Astyanax mexicanus: one gene and its partners. The protein of the gene in region 3 purifies or fractionates together with the protein of the main gene of each other region. This does not show direct contact. Links are inferred from orthologs where the notes say so. Each region holds a gene or a part of one and is shown on either strand. Other genes may lie near its edges. The genes, in order: sntb1, sntb2 and dmd.

Region 1 (7,908 bases), on a different chromosome or scaffold from region 3:
GACTGATTCGGGCCCGTCGTTTTCTGAAGCTACGCAAGCATGACCAAGACTAGACAGGGGTTGAGACTGTAGACAGCAAACTAATGTGATTAAATGTGATTTTTTTTTTCATGAATAGTTTATGACCTGAGGAGGATGGGTCCCCCCTGTGAGTCTGGTTCCTCCCAAGGTTTCTTCCTCCAGATTTGAGGGAGTTTTTCCTTGCCACTGTCGCCTTTGGCTTGCTCACAGGGGGTTTTATAAATAAAGTATTAAGAAGACCAGTCTGGGCACAGTCTTGATAGCTGGAGAAAGCCTGACAGCTAATATAAGAAGAACAAAAAGAAGAACACGAAAAAGAGGACTAAGAAGAAGAACAAGAAGAACAAGAAGAATATCAAGAAGAAGAAATAGACAAAGAGGACTAAGAAGAAGAACAAGAAGAAAAAGAAGAAGAAGAAGACTAATTTGGGCCCGTAATTTTCTGAAGCTACGCAAGCATGACCAAGACTGAACAGGGGTTCAGACTGTAGACAGCAAACTAATGTGATTAAATGTGTTTTTTTTCATCAACAGTTTACGACCTGAGGAGGATGGGTCCCCCCTGTGAGTCTGGTTCCTCCCAAGGTTTCTTCCTCCAGCTTTGAGGGAGATTTTCCTTGCCACTGCCGCCTTTGGCTTGCTCACAGGGGGTTTTATAAATAAAGTATTAAGGAGACCAGCCTGGGCACAGTCTTGATAGCTGGGGAAAGCCTGATAGCTAATATAAGCAATTGATTCTACTGCCCTGAGAGAAGTTTGATAGCGACCACTGGTCATCAGAACTCCAGAACTTCTCTAAAATCTTTTTGACCTCTCTGTTTATTTAAAAATTAATAATAAAAGTGTTTATCAAACAGTATGTAAGTGAATGAGAGTCGTTTTTGTTCCTCATCTTATCAGTAGAATAATGCTGTACATCAATACAAATACTAGACTTTTACTTTTTCAGCATAAACAATGGCGTGCTAATTTTAGAATATGGAAAACACATCTTGGTGTAGTAGTAACTTATTAAACTTTTTTTTAACTCAATATAAACTCAATATAAAAATATCAGTATTGCAAAAAAGTGTTTTTGTGTGCATTATTACAACTAATACAGCAATTAACCCTAAAAAGCCCACATCATTTCTAAAAACAACACATCCCAACAGTTAAGCATTGGAGGGAAGATCATTGATGCTTCAGGCTCCTGGGCTCATGTTTATAAAGCAAAATTAATGGACAGACCTCAAAAACTCATCACTTGCAAGATGGGCCATGAATCAACAAGCTGTTTGCAAAGGACCCCAACCACCCACCACAAACATGAATTGACTAAATAAATGAGTGCTGATCACAGTTTTTTGCTTTTTATATACATCAGACAATTCAAATTTATTCATTTTTTCTGGAAAATAAAATATGTATATCCCTATAACGCCAAACGTATCATATTTGATACATGATTTTTTTGAGCCCTCCAATGAGCAGTGTTACAATTGTTTCCCTAAAAAACTCAATCGATACTATGAGGTACATGCAGTGCACTGATAATTCAGGGGGCATCAGTCATGATAAATAAACAGGACTGAGCTCTTCCAATCACCTTTTCCTTTTGGCAACCACTTATTTAATATATTTTAGTGCCTTCATGAATTAATAAATATATTTCTAAATAAAGTAAAGTTGTTCATGTAAAAAAAGAATAGTTGATTGTTGGTTATTTGTTGGAGTATAGGGGGTATCGCCTTCCCTTGTAACGATGGGAGCAGACGGGAGGCGGACGTAAATGCGGGTAAGACAGACTTTAATAAATAACAAACAAACAAACAAGGTGAAAACGAGAACATATATAAACATAAACAAACAGGAAAAACAAACAAAGAGCTAAGCTGAACAGATAATAAACTAAACAGAGCTAGGGATATAAACAAGGGATAAATACGTAAATATATACAGGTATAAACAAGGAAACAGACAGGAAGTAAACGTGACAGGAAATAAACGTCACAAACAACAAACTAGAAATAAACAAGAGAGTGTAAATACAAATAACCAAGGAACGAGGAATAAGCAAAAACGTGGCGAGACAGACAACATGGGAAGGTGCAAAGACCAACAGCAAACATAGACTAAAAGGGACTATTTATACTAACATGAAACAATGAACACCTGGGGGAAAGGGCGGAGCTACAAATTACAGACACGTGACGGAAAATTACAGGGGAAACACACTGGGAAACGCAGGAACACAGGGAAACAGAGCGAGGGCGTGACTTCCCTGGCATTTTGCTGATATATACAAGACACTGCGGATTGAGGAACAATAAATACCTCCATACCTTTAGAAATAGTAGTTGTTCCATCCATCTGGCACCTACTATCAGAGCTCATTCAAACTTATAATATGATAATTCACATCACCTTGCTCTGAGCACACTGGCCATCTCACACACAAGGTACTACCTCACCCTATACAAGTGTGTGCATTACCAAGACATAATGAAAAATTAATATAATATTATTCCATGATATAATCCATCTTTTTTGCATTTGATAAAGTGCTTGATATTTTTATAAAGGCTCCAGTTTAAAAGAATTGAAATTGTATGTCAATTATTTAATGGTTTGGGCTTTACAGGGATATATATGCTATTTACAAACTCATACAGACAAACGTAATCTAAAGCAATCAATGTCTTCCATTTGAGGTGTCATGTGAAACAGTTCATATTATAATAAATGACCATACAATGTGATCTCACTTAATAGGAGATAGAATTATGGCGAGAGAGAGCGGGGTGTTTGCAAGGGGGGAACATGCAACTAGTCAAATGGCTTGTTGTCTTCACATGAAACGTGAAATCACACCCTTTAACTCAATTTAATCGGTGTAAAAAATAGCATTCATCAGACAAATTGCTTGCCCTAAATAAAAAAAATGCTCAAATGCAGCTAAAATGTCTGTAGCATTCAGTTATAGATTGTTTTGTGGGTTCAGAAACATTCCAAACACTGCTCTCTATCTGCACACCTGTATAAACTACCTCTGCAGAAGTGTTCACATACCCTTCTCATTTAAACGAATAAAATACAAACAAGAAATACATATTTAATACAAATAAAGTTTAATGCAAGTTGAATCAGCCAACCTAAAATTGATATGTACAAAAATATCTATTCTGACTCTGGAGATCAGTCGAGTAAAATGAGTGAGCACCTCCACCAGTGGACATATTACAATATTACAACTGTATACAAATTATGAATATGAATGTAAAATTAAAAGAAATGAAAAAAAAATAATAATAATACATTTACTTACTGCTCTGCACCATATAGAGAGTGACAGTTTAGAGCAGTCCTGCAGTAGCTCTCTAAAGCTTACCTGTAGATATAAAGAAAACAAGTCAATTCTAAAGGTTATTTTTGGCTAGTTCTTAAGCTATATATTTTTTTTCTAATTATTTACACATGCTTCCTCTGATACACGTGAAGTCAGCCACCACTTCTAAGGTTGACTTACTTTAAAGTTTTTTTATTTTACAGTTGTAGACACACAGTCAGCCTCCAGGTGTCGCCAAAGCCTAAAATATACATCTAAAAGGTCTGTAGCCTGCAGTTATAGATTGTTTTGGGGGTTCAGAAACATGACAAACACTGCTCTCTATCTGCACACCTGTAAAACGACTTCTGCAGAAGTGTTCACATACCCTTCTCATTCAGATGGCAGCCAGATAGATAAAATGTAGGTGACCAGTAGCTTAAAATCACATAATTAGATAAATACAATCAAATAATGCAGACGAAGAATATAGATAGATATACAAAAGGTATAAAATCTTTGGTAGAACAGAGCAAAAGTGCAAGTTGTATACAGCATAAAGTGTCTAGGTGCCTATATACATGAATCTATAAATGGAAGTGAGGGATATTTCTGATCTGGTAGTGGAAGGTAGTTTGTTTCTCCATTGGGGAATTCTGTATGAGAACAGTCTGGATTGCTTTGTGTGAATGTTTGGTAAAGTGAGACGACGTTCATTGGAGGAGCGCAGCGGCCGGGAGGTAGCGTAAGCCTTTAGTAGTGACTGCAGGTAGTAAGGAGCTGTTCTGTCATCACCTTCACCTTCCTGGTTTTCGTACAAATGTATCCCATAGGAACGAATGGTAATATGTTCATTATGTTCACATTCGTGTGTGTTTTTCAGCTATATTGTCCAAATGCTTGATGACACCATCAAGCAATACCTAAACAGTGACCTCGCAACAACATAGCAAAACCATAGCATCCACCATGGAAAGTTCTGCATGATTAAAACATCTTTTTTATAATCAAAGTGTGATTATCACCCATACCTTTATATCAAATAAAATAAAAAATAATATTAAAATACGTATGACTAAGTCACACGCCATTTTTTTAAATAGTGGGAAAATCTCTTCATCAGGTCAAGCTCAGGCAGACTACAATTTTTTTTATTATTATTATTTTTTATTATTGTTTTTTTTTTTGCAAACAAACAAAAACAAATGTGGGATTTAAATAAAATGTAAAAGATTACAGATATCAATTGGGTTTATGACATTTTTCTTATTATTTTTATATTCTTTATTTTTTTATTTTTTATATATTTGAAAATCGTATAATTGCATAGGTCCGAATAAACAAATGTTCGGAATGAGGGTATTTACCTACAATCTAGCTTGTATCCAATAAGAGTGGGAGAATGACGAGAGGCGTGGCTCTGGGTGTGGAGAGAAAAACTTTTGTCCAATCAGAGTGTAGGAAGGCGGGGCCGGTGTGAGGGCGGGAGGGGAGTCAGCGCGCGCTGGAGGCTGGAGGTGAGTCAGAGCTCGGGGGAAAGTTTGAGAGAGGGTGAGCGCGAGCTGAGCGCGGCTGGATTATTCGCGCGCGCGGAGATGACTGCGGGATGGCGGTAGCGGCCGCGGGTCCCGCGCAGCGCGCGCACAGGAGCGGGTTCGTGGAGGTGCTCGTGCGCGAGCAGTGGCACCGCGTGTTCGCGAGTTTGGGCGACGAGGCGCTGACCCTGAGCTGTGAGGAGAACGGGCACGCGCACGAGCATGTAAACGGCGAGGCGGATGCGGGGGCGCGCGGCGCGTTCACGGTAAGGTCGGTGTGCGTGTGCGTGCGTGTGCGTGTGTGTGTGTATGAACGGGAACGCGTATTCCTGACGTTAACTACTCTGTTGAGTATTGTAAGTATGTGCACGCACGGAGGGCTGAGCAGGAGTATTAGTACTGCCGAGTAAAGTGGAGTAAAGTTTTTTATTCCGTGAACATTTAATTAAACTCAGACAGGTAAACTCTGGGTGGATTGGTGGATTAAAGGGCGCAGGTAAAAAAAAAAAAAAATACATGTTTTGGTCCAGAGCCTCCCCATGCTGACTGAAGTGGGGTGCCCAAACTTTTGACCAAGATATGGTTTATTCCAAAGCTTTTTCATGCACAAACTGTACTGAAAAGGTGTGGAAACTATTAATGTTACCGTTCATTACTCTGTAGGTAGAAGTATAGATACTAGAGTTTTAATAACTTCTGTAGGAGTAAAGTATCAACTTAAGCTTTTTACCCAAGTAAGAGTACTGTTTTCAAAACTACTTAAAGTATAAAAGTAAAAGTAATGTAGGGTGAAGAAATACCATTAAGGAAAAAGCCACAGGGTCCTATAGTGCACATTTTCTAGGGGTGTGAGGAGACACTAATATCACGAGACGAGACGGGACACGATATTGGGTTCACGAGAACAAGACGAGATTTAAAAATGAAATTTTAAAGAAAATGTCAAAAATGAAAAATGGCTTGAAAACGTTTATTTGACAAAATTATATAACGCAAACTTAACAGACTCTCACACACTGATTCTATAAGAAATATAAATAAGAATAAAAAATAAAAAGAAAACTTTTCTAGGTCTTATATAGTGCAAACAATAAGTGCAAACCACAACCAGTCATATTAAGCCTATGGTTTGTGTTTTTTCTCCTAAATCTCTTGTAATTTAACTATGCATAACCACAACCAGCCATATTAAGACTATGCTTGAAGTGCAAACAGATATACAGTACAGAGCTAAGGGATTAGTACAGCTGCCTATGAAACAGTCACGTGTAGGATTTACTTACAGTATTTATATATGGTTTGTGTCTTGTTTATTGTTTCCACTGGAGCCGAAATGCAGCCAGATATACAACTTAAAAGTAGCAGCAGCATCTTCTATACAAACGCCCAAATTTTCCTCTTCTGCTAAGAGCTGCTCTCGCTGCTCAGCCATCATACTCTATTGCTATCGCTACTGAGTTGCCAGATCCCTCTTAAAAAGTCCACACTTAACTGTTTTTTTGCCCCGCGAGACAGTTTTAAGCCTGACGAGAAATCTCGTCCGTTTTAATCTTGCGAGATCTCATGCCACCCCTAACATTTTCTAAAGGCCATAATGACTATAATGTTATATTAAAATATTAAAGTTGATAGATTTGGGTAGTAGATTTGCAGTAGACTCCCTGTTTTAGTTGCATATATGCTCATTGAAAATGAATGTATTTGATACAATGCAAATATATTAAAGAAGCCTGGTTAGATGTTTGGCTTGTGTTCTGTTGAGTCTCTGCACGGATCATCTTTACACTAGACTACATGTGTCTGCTGTGTTCTTGCTGGAGTGTGACGTGATAGATTGCGAATAAACCAATAAGTTGTTGGAATGGTATGTTTTTATGCTTTTTTCATTCAACCATATTCAAATTCACTTTATCCAGATGGGACTTTTATCCCATTTTCTCCCCAATTTACAAGGCCAATTACTCAACCCACTCAGTAGGATTCCCCCTATTACTAGAGATGCTCCAACACACCAGGAGGGTGAAGACTAGCACATACCCCCTCCGATACATGTGAGGTCAGCTACCGCCTCTTTTCAAACTCCTGCTGATGTAGCATTGTCGAGTAGCATCACAGCGAGCTCGGAGATAAGTGCAGCGACATGGTTGCTATACATTACAGCTCTCAGACGCCTTGTGCTGACCTTTTGGAGTTATGTGGGGGGAGAGCCCCCTAGAGAGCAAGGCCAATTGTGCTCTCTCAGGGCTCCAGCAGCTGATGGCAAGCTACATAAACGGGATACGAACCAGCAAATCCCGATCATAGTGGCAGCTCCTTTGTCTGCTGCACCACTCAGAGCCCCTGGATGGAGAGATTGATCTGGATAGGTTTTTTTTTTTTTTACAGTGAGAAAGCGGGATGAAAACAAGCTGAAATGAAATAGGAGTATCATGTCTATTTTAAAACATGAAAAATAATAATTACTCCAGTAAAGTATAGATAACCCAAATTTCTTTTTAAGTAAGGTAACAAATATTTGTACTTTATAATTTGAAACCTCTGTCTGTTCTAGAGTGTTTGCTGACATGAGGTACCCAAACTTTTGCCACGAAGCTGGTTGGTCCAATATTTCCGCCATGTAAAATGGAAAATACTGGAGAGCTCGCTGACTTGTGCCTTGAATGCTGATTTATTTGAAACTCCTCCATATACATGCTGTACACAAGAGCAGTGAACAGAAAGAGTGCTGCACGTGTTCTGCAAATCTATCAGACGATTTTATAAAAAACAACATCCAAGATTTAAAACTGTGTGATGAATTTTATGATTCCGCCAAATTAGATTTTTGTACCTTAATATATTTGGCAGCTACAGATGTTTAAAATTTGGGTCCAAAATTTCTGAACGCACTTAGTGGACTGCTCTGTGTTGCCAACACCTAAACTATGTGTACTGGCGAAACACTAATTTAAGTTAACACACTTTTTACATCAATATAATATTTTTTTGACATGGAAAATACTGCTTACATATGCTGTGCATATACTGCACACATGGTAATGTTTA
Region 2 (7,814 bases), on a different chromosome or scaffold from region 3:
CTTTATAAAGCACACAAACAGCTGGAGTAGAAAACTGCCTCCAACTAACACTAAACTGAAAGAGGCCATGCAGGTCATGTGACATCAGTTTCACTTCCAGTTTGGGTTTTGGGATGCACAGTTCTGTTGTGTCAGCCACTCTGTGTTTGGCCCTGCTGGAGGTCACTCGGTTCTAGCTTCAGAAGAAGGCAGTGAAAGTAGAACGGAGCATAAATAGAGCCCCTTGTTTTATTGCCCATTTTTTAATTGGACAAAACAAAAGATCTCATCTTTGGTGAAGCATCCACAGTGGACACCATCTGCAGCTCAGCGTTCAGCTAAGTTAAATTAGTGTAATTCTTTAGTTTGTGGTCTGATCAGCAGTTTTAGGCCTGACTGACCTGTGGACAAGAACAGATCTGAGAGCGTGTGATGGTGATATCAGCCTTGCTCTCCTGCTACGCTGATCAAACTGGAAACACAATCGGACCTTTATTTTGAATGGGCTGTTTTGTAACACTACTCCCGACTCCAGCAGCAGAGGGACTTTACTGTCCTGCAGACCTGACTAATTTTACTGCTCTTTTTTCTGTTTTATTTTACTGGTATACAGACAGCACCTATACTATGTGGTTGACTGTATTAGGACACCTGCTCTTTCTTCTGATTTAAAGGTATTAAAAAAAGCTGATCTTGACTCTGTTTGAGTAATTGTCACTACTGGCCAGGGAAGACTTTCTAATAGAATTTGGAGAATTGCTGTGAGGATTTCATTGTTTTCATTGAGTGTTAGCAAGGTCATGATGATGAAAGATCACCACCCCACCTCACCTCTTTAACTCATCCTAAAAGGAATGGATGCTGTAATATAAGGGGTGTCCACAGAAACGTGGAGGTATGTGTATTATTGTGTATTTCTATCGTACAGTATCAGAACTGGACTGTGACCAGTTAGTCCCAGAACAGCTGCATAAAGGCCAGAGTACCCTGACTGAACAAACATTATTACATAATGGATGTTCATGTTTGTCTAAAAATATCTAGTTGGGTTCATAGCCATTAATTCATGGGTGTTCCTGTTTCATTACGTTTAGGTTGTTGGTCATAACTTACAACAGATATTTCCACATACCAGCATATACACCTAAACGCAACTCACACTTTCCTGGTTGCTAGGGACCAGTTCATTTATTTCACTGGTTAGGTCAGATATCAATAATGGCATTGTTTCAGACAGTGGAAAGAGATAAACTCTTGACTGATTTGTGAGACAAAGCAGAGATGAAAAAGTAGGACTGGGCAATATGACAATATTTTATTTCATTGAGAAAACGTGTTAATGTGATACAGTATACTTTTATAAACATATTGTGGATATCATCAGTGCTTAATGAACACTGACCAACTGTGCACTTGTGTATAGAGAGTGTTATTAGTGCAGTTTAACAGGATATAATGAAGAATGTTAAATATAAATCACTGTACTGTATGGAGGAGTATTTCAGAATCATCTTCACTGATATATTATCTGCATTAAAAGTATTGTGCTAAATACTATGATATTATGATATACTGTGATATAACATGATATTTTGACCAATATATTTTAACAATATTTACACTAGCATAAAAAGCTTGACTAAAGCAATTAATAACAAGGCTCAAATATATGTAATACTGCTAACCTGTGGCTAAATCCCTATTAATCAGATGCGTATTATTGTTTCCTTTTTGCCTGCATTTTCATCCTATAGCTGACAGGCCTTGTGTGTGACACCTGGGATCTAAAAGTTCTAGATGTACAACTTGAGATTGAAAAAGTTCTAGAATATAGATACAGCCTGGTTACTGCCACCATTCTGGTGTTAGAGCGCAAGCGTGCATGGTCAAAGTGCCCTAGCTCTAGAATATAACTTTGCTCGATCACATTCCAGAACACAGTAAACCCAGGCTGGCTGAGTGTTTAGTTTTAGAACATGAGTGTGCATGCGCAAGAGTTCTAGTTCAAAACCAAGAATGTGCTAGCTATGCGTTCTAGTTTTAGAACAATAGTGTGCTAAGTCAATACTGCAGAACCAGTACAGCAGAACCCGCGTGCCCGGCTGTGTGTGTTTATATTTGAGGCGGGAGCGGTGTTATCGCAGCGCAGCCCGCAGGCCGTGTAAATCCCCGGCTTTGCGTTGAGCACTCACCCTCCAGCGTCACCTCCTTCCCCGCCTTTTTCAGCGCCTGCACCGCCTGGTCGTGCGTGGCTTCGCGGAGGTCGCTGCCGTTAACGGACAGGATCGCGTCTCCCACGCGCAGCGCGCGGCTCTGGTCCGCGGCCAGACCGGGGAAGATTTTGGAGATGAGGATGGGCATGCGGTTCTCCCGGCCACCCTTAATGCTGATACCCAGTCCGCCGGACTCTTGCTTCACCACCCGGACCTTCCTCACGGTCTCCGCTGGGCTCGTGTCGAAGTTTGCGCTGCTGTTGCCGCCTCCTGCCCCCTCCCCATGTCTGGAGCTGAAACTGGAGCCTGGGCTTCCGTAGCCTGACCCGGGACTGCCGTAGTCCGAGCTAGTGCCGTTGTCGCGGCTCGGTCTGCGGGGGCTGCTGTAGCCGTACACGCTGCCACCACTGGGCTTTAAGTGCCCGTGGTTCGGCTGAAGCTCCGGGTTCTGGTTCCGGAGTCGGTTCTGTTCGCTGATGGGATCACCCCCGTTAGACAGTCCGTTTCTGAGCTCCACACCGCTCGCTTCCCCCTCCGCAGTCAGGGTCAGAGTGTCCCGGTTCAGGTCGGCCGTGACCCGGACCCAGCGCTCGCGCAGCAGCAGGTCCAGCTGACCGTTCTTATCCGCACGAGTCCAGATCGCCATCACCCGCGCGCGCTCAGTCCAAACTCCTCATACCGAACCCCTCATACCGTCCGAACTTTCAGTTTCCGCTCCCGAGTACAACTCTACACACACACACACACACATGTACACGCCCACACACACTCTCTCTCTCACACACACACACACAAACTCACACACACACAGTTTACAAGTTTGCGTGTTTTCCCTACCCGTTTTCAGACTAGCCCCGCCCCTCGTGCTATTGGCTAAGAGTTTGTAAATCAGAAGTATCTGGAGAGAATGGCCTCTCTCCTCCTCAACAAGTGCGCACTTATCTTCTACAACACTTCATCCAGCTTCTTAAACGTGACTTGTGTTCTAGAAATGCACGCCTGTTGTACATTGTGTTCTACATCACGTAGTAAACATGCACTTCAGTTCCAGGGCTTTTGCTTTGAGTTCAGCTTTATGTTTTTGTGTGAGGGCCCCTTGTTTTAAATGATAAAAATAGCATGCTCTTCTGTTGTAGAGCGCTCAGTCAGAGCACACTGTAATAATTACATTTTTGTTGAAACACGTGCTCATGCTAAGGTCCTGCACTGGGGTTCTGCACAGTCAGCAAGAAAATGTTTCTTAGAAGTGGAATCATTTGCATAAACCACCTGTTAAGGGTGATCATCCAATATAAATTATGTTTAACAGGTTAGCCATAGGTTTACATATTTAAAAAAGGGCCGTTCTGGTTTGTGTAGAGATGTTTTTTCCTCTGTGAGGATGGAGCTTAATTAATAAAAAGTGTAATTTGAGGTTTGTGGGGGTTTTTTGTGGGTGGTGGTGGTGGGGGGGGGTGGTTTTTGCATTAATTGTGCTATAAGAGCATTATAACAATCAGTTTTCTGAGTCATCCAACTGGGGTTTGGCTGGATTATAAGGCTGGAACAGCCAATAGGGTGTCAGTTCTCAGGATTGTAGTCCACAAGGCAATCATGCCTGAGTAAGCTGCTGCAGGGAAGCTGCTGCAGGGAGGGGGGCGGGGGGGGGGGATATTCCAACAGAGTGCTACTCTTATAACAGCCCTGTTATTATAACAGTTATAAACACAGCCTGCTCCTCCTCCTCCAACTCTCCCTCCATATTTCACCCCTCCTGTCCTTAAAGTCCAGTCAGGAGTCCAGCCAGGCCAAGCCACCCCTACCCTCCTACAGTTACTATGGCAACCTAAATACAGCCTTATTAAACATCAATAACTGATGTTTGTACATATGGCGAATTATACACATGGTGAATTAAAATGTTGCACATTCTAAACCATAAGATCAGTAATAAGTTAACTGTTTCAATTCACACTGTAAGAAATAGTAAACTACAGTTGGACATTCTTGCAGCAGCAAGGAGGGACGGACCTGTGGTATCTCTACTTCACATACCGTGGGTATAGCAGCAGCCAGGCACTGAAGAAACTGCCCAATGCTGTGGTGAGTGGTGCATAGGTTCTACAGCATGTGTTTAAACGCCGTTCTCATGCTCCCATCTCACACCACCCCAGGACAGAGCTGGACCTTGCGATGATCTTGTTCAGTCTCTTCCTGTCAGCAGTGGAAATGTGAGACCCTTTGGGATTTCTTTGATTTTTGCCTAAACTAAAACCACACAAAATATATATGTTTCCATGGTTTTATTGAACACAACATGTTAACATTCACAGTGCAGGGTGGAAAAAGTATATAAAACTCTAGGCTAATGACTTTTCTAAGAGCTAATTGGAACCAGGATGTGATGAGATTGGATGTGTTGGTTAAAGCTGTCCTACCCTATAAAAACACACACCAGTTTTGAGTTTGTTGTTCCTAAGAAGCACTGCTTTTGAATCATGCCTCGCACAAAAGATCTCTCAGAGGACCTACTGTACATTCAGGAACTGTTGACTTGTATGAAGCTGGAAAGGGTTACAAAAGTATCTCTAAAAGCCTTGATGTTCATGTGTTCACAGTAAGACAGGCGGTCTACAAATGGAGAAAGTTCAGCACTGTTGCTATGCTCCCTAGGTGTGGTCGTCCTGTAAAGATGACCGCAAGAGTACAGTGCAGAATGATCAATGAGGTGAGGAGGAATCCTAGAGTGTCAGCTAAAAACTTACAGAAATTACTGTCACATGCTAACATTTTTGTTGACAAATCTACAAAAAGGAAAAACATTAAACAAGAATGGAGTTCATCAGAGAACACCACAGAGGAAGTCACTACTGTCCAAAAAAACATTGCTGCAAGTTTGAAGTTTGCAAAAGAGCACCTGGATGTTCCACAGCAGTACTGGCAAAATATACTGTGGCCAGATGGAACCAAAATTAAGTTGTTTGGAAGTAACACACAACGTTTGTGTGTGGAAAAAAGGCACAGCACACCCTCATCAAAACCTCATCCTAACTGTGAAATATGGTGGAGGGGGCATCATGGTTTGGGGCTGCTTTGCTGCCTCAGGGTCTGGAAGGATTGCTGTCAACAACGGAAAAATGAATTACAAAGTTTACCAAGACATTTTGCAGGAAAACTTAAGACCATCTGTCCACCAACTGAAGCTCAACAGAAGATGGATAACAGGACAAACGACCTAAAACATAGAAATAAATCAAGAACCGAATGTCTTCAACAGAAGAAAAAACGCCTTCTGGAGAGTCCTGATCTCAACCCAATTGAGATTCTTCCTGACTGTTCTGCAGGTCTGATCTGCAACTACAGGAATCATTTGGTTAAGGTTTTTGCTGCCAAAGGAGGGTCAACCAGTTATTAAATCCAAAGGTTCACATACTTTCCCTCCCTCACTGTGAATATTAACATGTTGTGTTCAATAAAACCATGCAAACATATATTTTTGTGTGGTATTAGTTCAAGCAGACTGGGTTTGTCTATTCTTGTGACTTAGATGAAGATCAGAACACATTTAATGACCCATTTGTGCAGAAATCCAAGTAATCCCAAAGGGTTGACATACTTTTCCTCCAACTGTATCCTGTAGTATTTGCATAACCTATTTACAATGGGTTACATTTTGTTTATTATTTAAATTAATTCTAATAAAACTTAAATTCCAAACAAAGTTGGGAAACTGTGTAAAATGTAAATAAAAAAGAATGCAATTCCAATCTCATAACACCCATATTTTATTTATAATACAATAAAATAAATATCAGATGTAAAGTAAGCTTTACCATTTCATAAAAAAGTTAGCTCCTTTAGAATAGAATTTGATGGCAGCAACACCTCTTAAAAGGTTGGGACAGAGCTATGTCTACTGTTGTGTAGCATCACCTCTTCTTTGAACAGCTGCGTGTAGAGTTTTTGATAGAGAATTTTCAATTTTGCAACCCCATACATTGGCTGAAAGAAGATGGCATTGTTTCTGGATCATGTTAACATTTGTGTTCACAGACAGTTAACTGTGTTCACAGACAGTGATTTCCTGAGTTCCTGAGACCATGCGGTGGTTTCTTGTCGATTTGTTCACAGAAATGTCTCCAGATTCTAGCAAACACTAGCAAAACGCAAAACTAGAAAAGAGTCAATCAGGATGGATAAGGAGAGAGTATTTCTCTCCAGCGCACCTGTTACGTTTATTTAAACCAAAGCAAGCAAACTTAATTCAATGCATCCTAACAGAGCCGACTGATATCATAATACATAATTTTTTTAGGGATGAAAAAGTGTGATTAATGTCAGAATACTGTTGCGGTTAATCAGATTTTTAAACTTCTATTGTGATTAATTAAACTACTGTTTATTTCTGTTGTCAGATAAAATTCACCATCTAAAACACAGTGCAGACTCTTAACCATACTTAACCATCGTACAGGAACATTTTGTGGCTCATGTCATCTAAAGATTTTTAAAGTCAAATTATCTGTTGTCTCTGAGGTCTGTAGTACCTCCATAGAGACTACACCTTTTTTAGCACCACCCTTCAGCAAGTTATATATATATATATATATATACTGTTTATGAATGAGACCCACAACAGCCCAGCCAATAAAAAAAAACTTGTTTACATAAATCAGTATTACAGGTACAGTGTGTTTAAGTGTAAGAGATATACAGAGGTTGAAGTAGAAATGAATGAGTATTTACTTATAACTCACACAGGCTGTGAGGCTGATAGTGGAGCTGAGGGTGGAGAATGTGGGATATATGTTCTTTATATCTCTACACTGGACAGAGATGCTGAAAACAGAATTTCTTCAAATGAATGTGTTTTCAATTTTTATTTATTGCAGATCTACAGCATTTAAAACACTGTGAGTGAAGGGATTTGCAGTCGGGGGGTCTGGGCTTGTGGGAAGGGGGTGTAGGGAGGTGTTGATGGTGATGCAGGATGTTCAGAAGCTCTCTCTGCCAATTGAACTGGCACCATATCTCTCCCTGATACATTCACTCAGCCTATACAGTACAGCACAATAATACAGTACTGTTTACTCAGAATATGAAATATATTGACAGTATTTCCATTTATTCTATTAGGAGGGACATTCTAGTGCTAAAACTGCACTTTAAGAGATTTAAATGTGTTTCAGAGCAGCTATTAGGTCCTCTTGCTCGGGGGGTGGGGTGGAGACTTCGCTCTAATTCTTATCCCATATGGAAACAAAATATACGGACATGTACTCATACATTTTAAACACATTTCAAACCCACTGCATGTATTGCAAAATGTATTGCCTATAAAGAAAACATATTTTAAAATATGATACTTACATGGGAAATGTCAAAAAATAGATATCTGCAGCATAAATTAAAGAGACAAAAACACAGCAAAGATGCAGCTGGAGTATTTGATATGTTTTTTTAAACTAAGAGGTAAAACAATTATAAATATATATATATTATATTATATATATATATATATATATATATATATATATATATATATACACACACCATATTATTTTTTTTCCATATGGGATTTAACTAGTTACATTCAATCAAAAACAAGGCAACAGCAACGCTATAATTGAATCCTCCTCCGTT
Region 3 (8,070 bases):
TAACTTTGGGCATCCACTCTGAACATACAATTTCTGTCTAAAGGACAACATAACGAATAGACGTCATGTGCTGTGAGTTTAAACACTACCTAATTGCCTATCCACTATATGAATTTTAAATCTCCAGTTTCATTCCCCAACACTAATTTTACCCCAAGGTTGCCAGTTTTAGGAACACAACACCGGCAAAGCAGACGACATGGAATCTAGCAAGCAAGCAAGCAGTCTGATTTAGCCCAAATCTTATCTGCTACACAGCCGTAAGCCTTGGCATTCATCCACTTAGGGAGCAAAGATGGAATAAAATGAGAGTAAATATTGGCAGTGAGTTGGACAGATGGAGAAGTCTTCCAGCTCAGAAAGAGTAAATATAGTTGCTGAGCTGCTACTTTTCTCCTGAACAGGTAGCTGAGCTACTTTAGCCAGGTCATTTATCACAATCTCTAGGTTAGCTTATTTGGGATGGTCACTTTAATTATTTAACAAAAAATGTGTTTTTGCATTTATATCACTCTGTGTGCAGCTGGGAGAATAAGGCATGGGGTAATTGAGGCATTACTGGTGAGGATAGCTAGGTTAGCTAAAGTGATGTGGACTATGCCGGCTAACGCAGTCATGCTACACAAGCTAACATGAACTGCAGTCAGTGGAGGAGCAGATGCCTTGTATCAGATTACTATCTGATTATCTGATCAGTGATGAGTACACCGATAATATAAACATTTCTTATGTCCAAAAATACTCCATTCTCAGCAGCTAGCGTTAGCTATTTATCTGTTTATCTCCAGTCCTCACTGACTACACTTACAGGGGTCTGTACAGTAGAAACTCGAAGGTGTGTATTTTTGGAGCAGTGGGCCCTTTCCGGTATAATGGACTTGGCTTAGGCTAAGAAAGCTAGCGGCGTATAAAGCTAGCTAGTTAACTGCACGCGTTCCAGTAGGTTTAGTGCCCTGAGCTTGGAAACCTGAGTCAGCTTTAGTGCTTTGGCAGAAAAGATGAGGAGACAACTATTGTTCTGTCTACACTGTGTTTATGTGCACCATGGTCCTTGGAGGAACGTTGTTTCGTTTCACTCTGTATATAGCTGAAATGACAATAAAAACCACTTTGACTTGACTTTGACATAACATTAACATTGATTTAATGTTGAAATGCCAGCTGGGGTTACACACAGTAAAACATGTTCACAGGAAGAATGGGAAAAAATACCTCCTAAATTATGACTGGACTCTTTTGTACATATGGATGTATATTTCTTGGTGAGAGATTGTGACTCAGTGTCACACTTGAAGACAATTCTTCCCAGTTGACAGACTTTAAAAGGGGGCACATCATTGCAGAGAAAGAAGGAAGAAGGATGTTTTTGTCAGCTATTCATCACTTTTATTCATGATAGTGTTGTAAAAGAGAAATCTCAGACTGGAACTATATTGTCTTTAGCAATAAATCCAGGTTCTGTTTTGGGATCCAACAACAGTCAGGTTTGAATATAGAGTTTTGGATAAGGATTTTAATCCTGACTTTCCTGTGGAGTGACACACTGCTGTGATGATCTGGGGATCCATTGCATACAACAGCTGGTCACCTCTAGTAGTGGTGCGGGGAACACGAACAGCTCAGCGACTTGTGAACAACTCATTGCAGGACTTCCAACTGGCAGGATAATTCTTGACCACACACAGAATTCCCAGGACTGTCCAGATATATCGCCAATTAGAAGTCCAACAGGGTAATATAGTCTCTATACTTTTCTACAGTTTCACCCAATAAACTTATCTTTCACTCTACATACATAGATAGATACATCTATACATAGATCATCATTACATTCACACATCAGAATAAATAACAGTACATACAATCAGCATTCAATAAATGGCAATTAAACATAGAAATATTTACTGTGATTATTTTGGTAAAGATTATATATATATATATATATATATATATATATATATATATATATATATATATATATATACACACACACAGTATAAGCGAATGTAAAAGTTGGGTTGTCTTTTTTAATAATCTAAACAGATTATTTAATGTGGTAACAAGCAATTGAACTGGAATGATTTAACTGTAATAAATACTTTGAATGAAGCATTACTTCATTCAGTATAAAGATAGATTTAAAAAGCACAGGCACGCCCTAGCATGAGCAATAAAAGAGGAACGTAGGATGGATACGGACAGCAACAGGGTAGAGTTGCAAACCTCCAGAGCCAAACTGTCGCATACAACTTGAGAAATGCTCTAAATTAACTGGACACTCAATGCCAAAGCATGCCACAGTGTGACTAACAATAGACCACCCACATTCTGCAGAGCTTCTTCACATGCACTCACACAGCAGCAGAAGAGCTGCGTTCTTCAGCAGTTATAGACTCTGAGAATCTTGGTAAAAGTGTTAAATTAGTAGTTTAAATGTCTTTATGCTGCTAGCTAACAACAATATACTAGCTCAAACAAGGCCACTAGTAATCTTACACCAGGCAGCTGCTGCTATTTTAAGTTCTTTAAGACCATATTTCATCGGGGGAGTAAATATAGCCCACTCTGTGTCTAAGCTGGATTCAGGGAGGGTCACAAGCCAAATGATTATTACACAAATATGTTCATTTCAAAGGTTTTACAAAAACAAAGACTTATAGAACCATAATGAGCAGACGCATCAACTAAAATAAAGTTAATAACAATGACTTACACGTCAACATGCATACATAAAAAAAGTTAATTCCACAGAATGTTTATTTTCTGAAATCCTATTTGCCTCGCTACACGCTACAGTGAGTTTGGTTCTCTTACCTGATCGACTCTTTATGATTTCTCCAAATTCATCTTCAGAAGCCTCCACTTCCCACTGGTCCTCCGAGTACCCGGCTTCAGCCATGGCAGAAAATGTGATGTGTATCAAAATCAAACAGTCAGTGCCTGATACCACAGAGATGTAGTAGGTGAAGTGTGGGCTGGATGCAGGGTAGTGAGTAAATGCTAGTGCTGTAAGGACTGAACTGTTATGATTCAGGGGAAGCAAACTGTCAGGAGGCCCAGAAGAGCAGGAACAGGTGGCAGAGTCTTCTCATCTCAAAATAGAGCTTACAGACGGTCTGCGTCACCGTGGACTGCATCACAAACATACGCCGGGTCTATTTAGGATTAATTAATCTAAGTATTGATTACAACTTTTAAATGTTTCCTTTGAATTTTAGGTAGAGTGTCAAATATTCCTGTAGTTAATTCGTAAATAGTGAATAAGAATGTTCCTATTGGGTTGGAGAGTCCTCTTGCTTGCTTGAAGGGCAGTTATACACACTGATCATAGTTTATATAATCCAATCAGAGGCTGTGGTGATTGGATCTGGACAAAAAAGGCAGTGCAATTAAAATTCATTTTTAAGCTCATCTAACCATATAGAAGCACTTTATAGTTCTATAATTACAGCATGTAGTCCTTTTTTTCTCTGCAAAATATGAATTGCCCTGTTCTTCAATAATCAGGACCTTACAGGAGCAAGAATCACATTAGAGTGAATTAGCTAAAAGGTCAAAAGAAGTTTCTGGACCTGGATGTACAATGGGCAGCAGTTCACATAAACTCATGCACATTACAGTGATGATTATTGTTTAAAACCTTTTATTCTCAGGGCAGAAACAAATATTCCTGAAGCTGATCTGACCTTAAGAACAGACCAAATAATTTTGATGTGACTGAAATCAGGATTCTGAGAAGGTAAACTATAATGCTGCATTATTTGTCCCCTCCCTGCTGTCCTGTGTCAAAGATTCAACTGTCTGGCTGATGGTTTGAGGTTATAAAGAAATCTTCATTACTCTGTTCAGGTTATGTAATGAACTAGTGCCCGCTGGCAACAAAGCAGCCCCATAGTATGATACTACTCCACAATGCTTAACAGTTGGCCTAGTGTCCCAATATTATTGTGGCTGAACAACTTGATTTTTGCATCACAATCTTTTCCTCTAGGAAGCTTGTTCTTCGTCTATTTGTTTTAATTTTTTTATTTAACTGTACACAGTGACACTGGTGTTGCAGAAGCATCTTGGGCTACTGTGGAATCTGTTCCTTTACCCAAATTAATAACTCATTTTAATAGAACACACTTTCCACTGATCCTGACATTATCACCTGCTTTCTGGGACCAGGTCTGCTTTTCACTGACAGACAGATTCTATTATCAGATCTGGTGAATTAGATTTCTTAAACTGAATTTCAGTAACTGGTTGATTTAGTAGCTAAAAGGACAATTACTTGTTCACATGGATGATCTGGATTTTGAATTGATGTTTATCTGTTAACAAATGTAATGATCATTTCAGGGCTGCATCGTGTTTATTTGTATTGTCTTTATATTATATTCAAATTAGTTGGATGATCTACATTTAAATTATTCGTACAAAGAAGAAACATTTCTTCATACTGTATGTAAACACCCATATGTACATGATCATAGTTAGTTATTTACAGGCTAACTAACCATTAAAACATTTTGCTATTTAAGCAACTAAATATTCACCCAGTCCATATACCTACACGGAAATGGATTTGTCTATTAAAGTATAAAATAATTTTCCTATTTCATACGGATAACTTTAGCTGAGCAAATTACAGAGATTTCTCTTATGGAACAATTGGTCTGAACTTGAAATTGCCTCACTCACTGTCCCAATGTACTTTTTGGTTATGTGTACAACTTCCATATTTTGTAGCCAGTTACAGACTTGGTTTTATAGCTTTAAACTTTCATTTCTCACAATAATATGCATTAACATGACCAATTCAAGAACCATGACTAAAACTGACAGCAAAAATACATTTATTAGACAGTTTCCACATACAGCAACTATCATTGAACAGTATATACATGACCAAGTTGTGTGTAAATATGACTGAAGTGGAAGAAAGTCACATCAATGTCAAAAATAACCAGCGTGTTTTAACATTTGCGTGTGTAAATGAATTTCTTGTGAGCACAAATGTGAAACTCGCGCGCAAAGGAATTGTGTTCACGCTGAACAGAATATCACTCTCAAGCTTCATTTTTCTCCTCTAGGGTTTTTCTTTCATCTCGAAATCAGTTCTCCTGTGGCTGCAGTTTGTGCGCGGGTGATTTTTTCGCCCCTTGACTTTTGAAAGGGGTGGTTTTGACAGTTTGGGGGCGGAGTCAGGATCACCTCCCTCAGCGAACACTATTGGCTGATATCTCCTGGGGTTTGTGAAGGACCGCCTACCTCCCAGAGCCTGAGGAGGGTGGAGAAAGAAGGACAGCAGGAGAGTTAGCTAGCTGCCTATGCTATCATCCAAACAACCCTTCGCTCACAAACTGCTGCCACAGGAGAACGGTGACTTCGAGACGAAGAAAGAGAGAGAAAAAAAAAACACCTGAGAGGATTAAAAATGAAGCTTGAGAGCAATATTTTATTCACTGCGCACACAATTCACTTTTTTTGCTTGCAAGTTTCACATTTGCGCTCACAAGAAGTTAAATTACACACGCAAGTGTTAAAAAATGCTGGTTAAAATTTTTATTCATCTGTTTTTTTTTGCACTTTTCATTGCTCATTAAACAAAAAATTGCAGGTCACACAAGTCCTTTTACAGAAGATCAGCATGAATCTTCTTTATGAGGTTAGTCAGATAATTCTTTGCCGGCGTAACAGAGCACAAGACATCTTCAATCTGGTCAACTCTGTGAAAAAAGAAAGAAAAAAAAACTGAGTACAATAAGCTTTTAAACAAGGACAAGAGAAATGATGCTTACTCAATGTGCATCATATTTCCTCAAGTGATGTATAGATAAAGCGTCAGGATATTATGCACTTCTCCATCTTGTTTCCAGAATGCTGTATGCTGTTTTAAGACGCATTTTATGATGTTTATCTATCCCCATATTTTGCTAAGCCCAGAAAAGTGATGCGTGACAATCTGAAGCCACTCTTTGAATCTATGAAAGTCTGGCAAGACCATCCCCCAAGATTCATTCCTGTCGACGGAATCCTTCTGAATGCATCTAGTTTTGACAATGAATGTATACTGAATAGTAACTGCAAAACACCCTTCATTTAAAACCAAACAAATAAAATACCATACCTTGTTTTCCCAATGAGATTTTGAAACTTCTGCATTTGAAGGGGATTCAAGGGATAGTCTGGAGTTACAGTCAGACTTAGCTCAAATTTGGCACAGGCCTTGATACTGGAGAAAACAATCTCAACTCTAGGAAAGAGAGAAAAAAAGATATTACACCTCACATTTCAGTATCAAATAATAATAACCTCATATTGTTAAAAGGGGTTTATTTTTATTCGGTTATACAAAAGGAATTCCAGTTGCGAGAGGATACTGAAGAAAGAGAAGCTAGCATAACTCCGTTGGTAGAGTGGTTCCACATAAGAGTTTCCACACCAGTAATATTTGTTGTGAGAATGTGATTAGACAGGTGCCATTTAACCGAATTTATTACTCTGAATATTAATAGAGCTATGAACAAAGGGCGTCTATAGTGTTGCTTCATGCCAAGTTCTTATATTACTGAACATGGTGAGTGCAGTGCTCCCCTCTCACAGCATGGAATATATTGTTTTCAGTGGGAAGGCAGCACACTCTTCAGCATTTAGTGTGAAAGAAGCTTCACACTACACAAATACGCATGCTGGTCTGAAACAGGACCTTTCTCTCTTTATTTTACTATCCCTGCCCCAGACCACTCTGAGTCACTGTGGTTTGTTGTGATGCATTTTGCTGTACTTGCGTTTTTTATTGTGTGAAACTAAATCCGACCAAGTAAACAAACTTGTTAATGGATTCTGACCAGAGAAACCAACCACAGGTGTGAAAGGAAAGTGTTTCTGCTTTACATTTAAAGACAAATTCTGTTGAGTTTTATGAGGCTCAATTAATCAATATTAACTGACATACAACTGGTCAGGTGTGACATCGAGACATGCCACTTTTTGGATTGAAGCAGATCATATTGAGAAAATAATTTTATTTTGACTTCATATTTACAAACTAAAAGTGTTGCTAAAAAAGCCTTGACTGAGTGTACAAAATGATGCTTTTATTATCTGTTTAATTTCTTTAAGATGGTAAAGGTCTCATTTTATCATTAATTCTGTGTTGGATTTGGGTGGAGGAATGGGTGGGGAAGAAACACAGGATTTTTTCTCTTACTCATGAATATCCATGATATGCAAATGTCACTTAGGGCACTGCGACAATCCTTTCACAGCACTGCAGTGGGCGGGGCCATAAAATCTCGTTTTCTTTTATTGGTTAATTCAGGTAGAAGCACAGTTTCACATGCAGCATGCAGACACAACTCAGTGACCTACTGTATTTCAAAGAAGCAAAAACTAACTGCTTTCTAGTGAAATCACCTTTAAGAAGTCTGACAGATGATAAGTGTATGTTTGAATACAGGATTTGACTTACAGTGTATCCGAACAATTGAAGTGTAGGATGTCAAATCTCAATCCTCCCCATTTCTTCAACTGGTGGATTTCTTCACCTAGAAGTCGAAGTCTGCTCACCACCAAGCTGACATTATGGAGTAACTATTGTGGAAAAATTACATATACATTCAGATTATTCCAAAAATTACCATTGACTTTGTTAAATGTGTTAAGCATCGTATTAATTATATATCATTTTCCTATTTTTGCATCATTAATGGTATTACATAAAGATAATTCCTTTAAAAAACTGATAATTCCGTTAAATTCTTAGAGGGGATAATGCCCACCCATACAGCTCAACCAAAACATTAGACATACCACTGGTATGTGTCGTGTGGTTGGGTACTTCTGAGTCCACGTAGGTTGGGCTTTAATGTGCTCTGCAAGCAACACATGAACCATGCGGGCATGAGGCTGCGATGCGTCACCTAATGGAAATAAAAATAAAAACATGCTAGAGTTTTTTTTTTAAATAATAGCTGTGTAATATTTTTGGGAATACTATATTGATTTTCAGTATAGCAGAAAAATAAAACCATGAACACTAGACAGCAGTGCTTTACTCTTGTTAAACCTCACTGTTCTGCA

What was found.
Region 1: the proteins of dmd (region 3) and sntb1 purify together in Homo sapiens (co-immunoprecipitation; 4 studies listed by BioGRID and IntAct, counting the BioPlex papers as one, with this or other methods). This does not show direct contact. The link is inferred for Astyanax mexicanus from reciprocal best matches to the Homo sapiens genes DMD and SNTB1.
Region 2: the proteins of dmd (region 3) and sntb2 purify together in Homo sapiens (co-immunoprecipitation; 4 studies listed by BioGRID and IntAct, counting the BioPlex papers as one, with this or other methods). This does not show direct contact. The link is inferred for Astyanax mexicanus from reciprocal best matches to the Homo sapiens genes DMD and SNTB2.

What each region holds. Positions count from the first base shown.
Region 1 is NC_064413.1:9,208,012-9,215,919, forward strand, and holds the start of sntb1 (beta-1-syntrophin), read left to right. Parts: upstream 1-4,843; 5' UTR 4,844-4,934; coding exon 4,935-5,129; intron 5,130-7,908. UniProt on the Homo sapiens protein: Adapter protein that binds to and probably organizes the subcellular localization of a variety of membrane proteins. May link various receptors to the actin cytoskeleton and the dystrophin glycoprotein complex.
Region 2 is NC_064417.1:11,124,496-11,132,309, reverse strand, and holds the start of sntb2 (beta-2-syntrophin), read right to left. Parts: upstream 3,011-7,814; 5' UTR 2,839-3,010; coding exon 2,172-2,838; intron 1-2,171. UniProt on the Homo sapiens protein: Adapter protein that binds to and probably organizes the subcellular localization of a variety of membrane proteins. May link various receptors to the actin cytoskeleton and the dystrophin glycoprotein complex.
Region 3 is NC_064428.1:3,149,950-3,158,019, reverse strand, and holds the start of dmd (dystrophin), read right to left. Parts: upstream 3,019-8,070; 5' UTR 2,900-3,018; coding exon 2,815-2,899; intron 1-2,814. Other genes in the region: uncharacterized protein knl1, read right to left, coding at 5,621-5,714, 6,116-6,241, 7,460-7,581, 7,801-7,910. UniProt on the Homo sapiens protein: Anchors the extracellular matrix to the cytoskeleton via F-actin. Ligand for dystroglycan.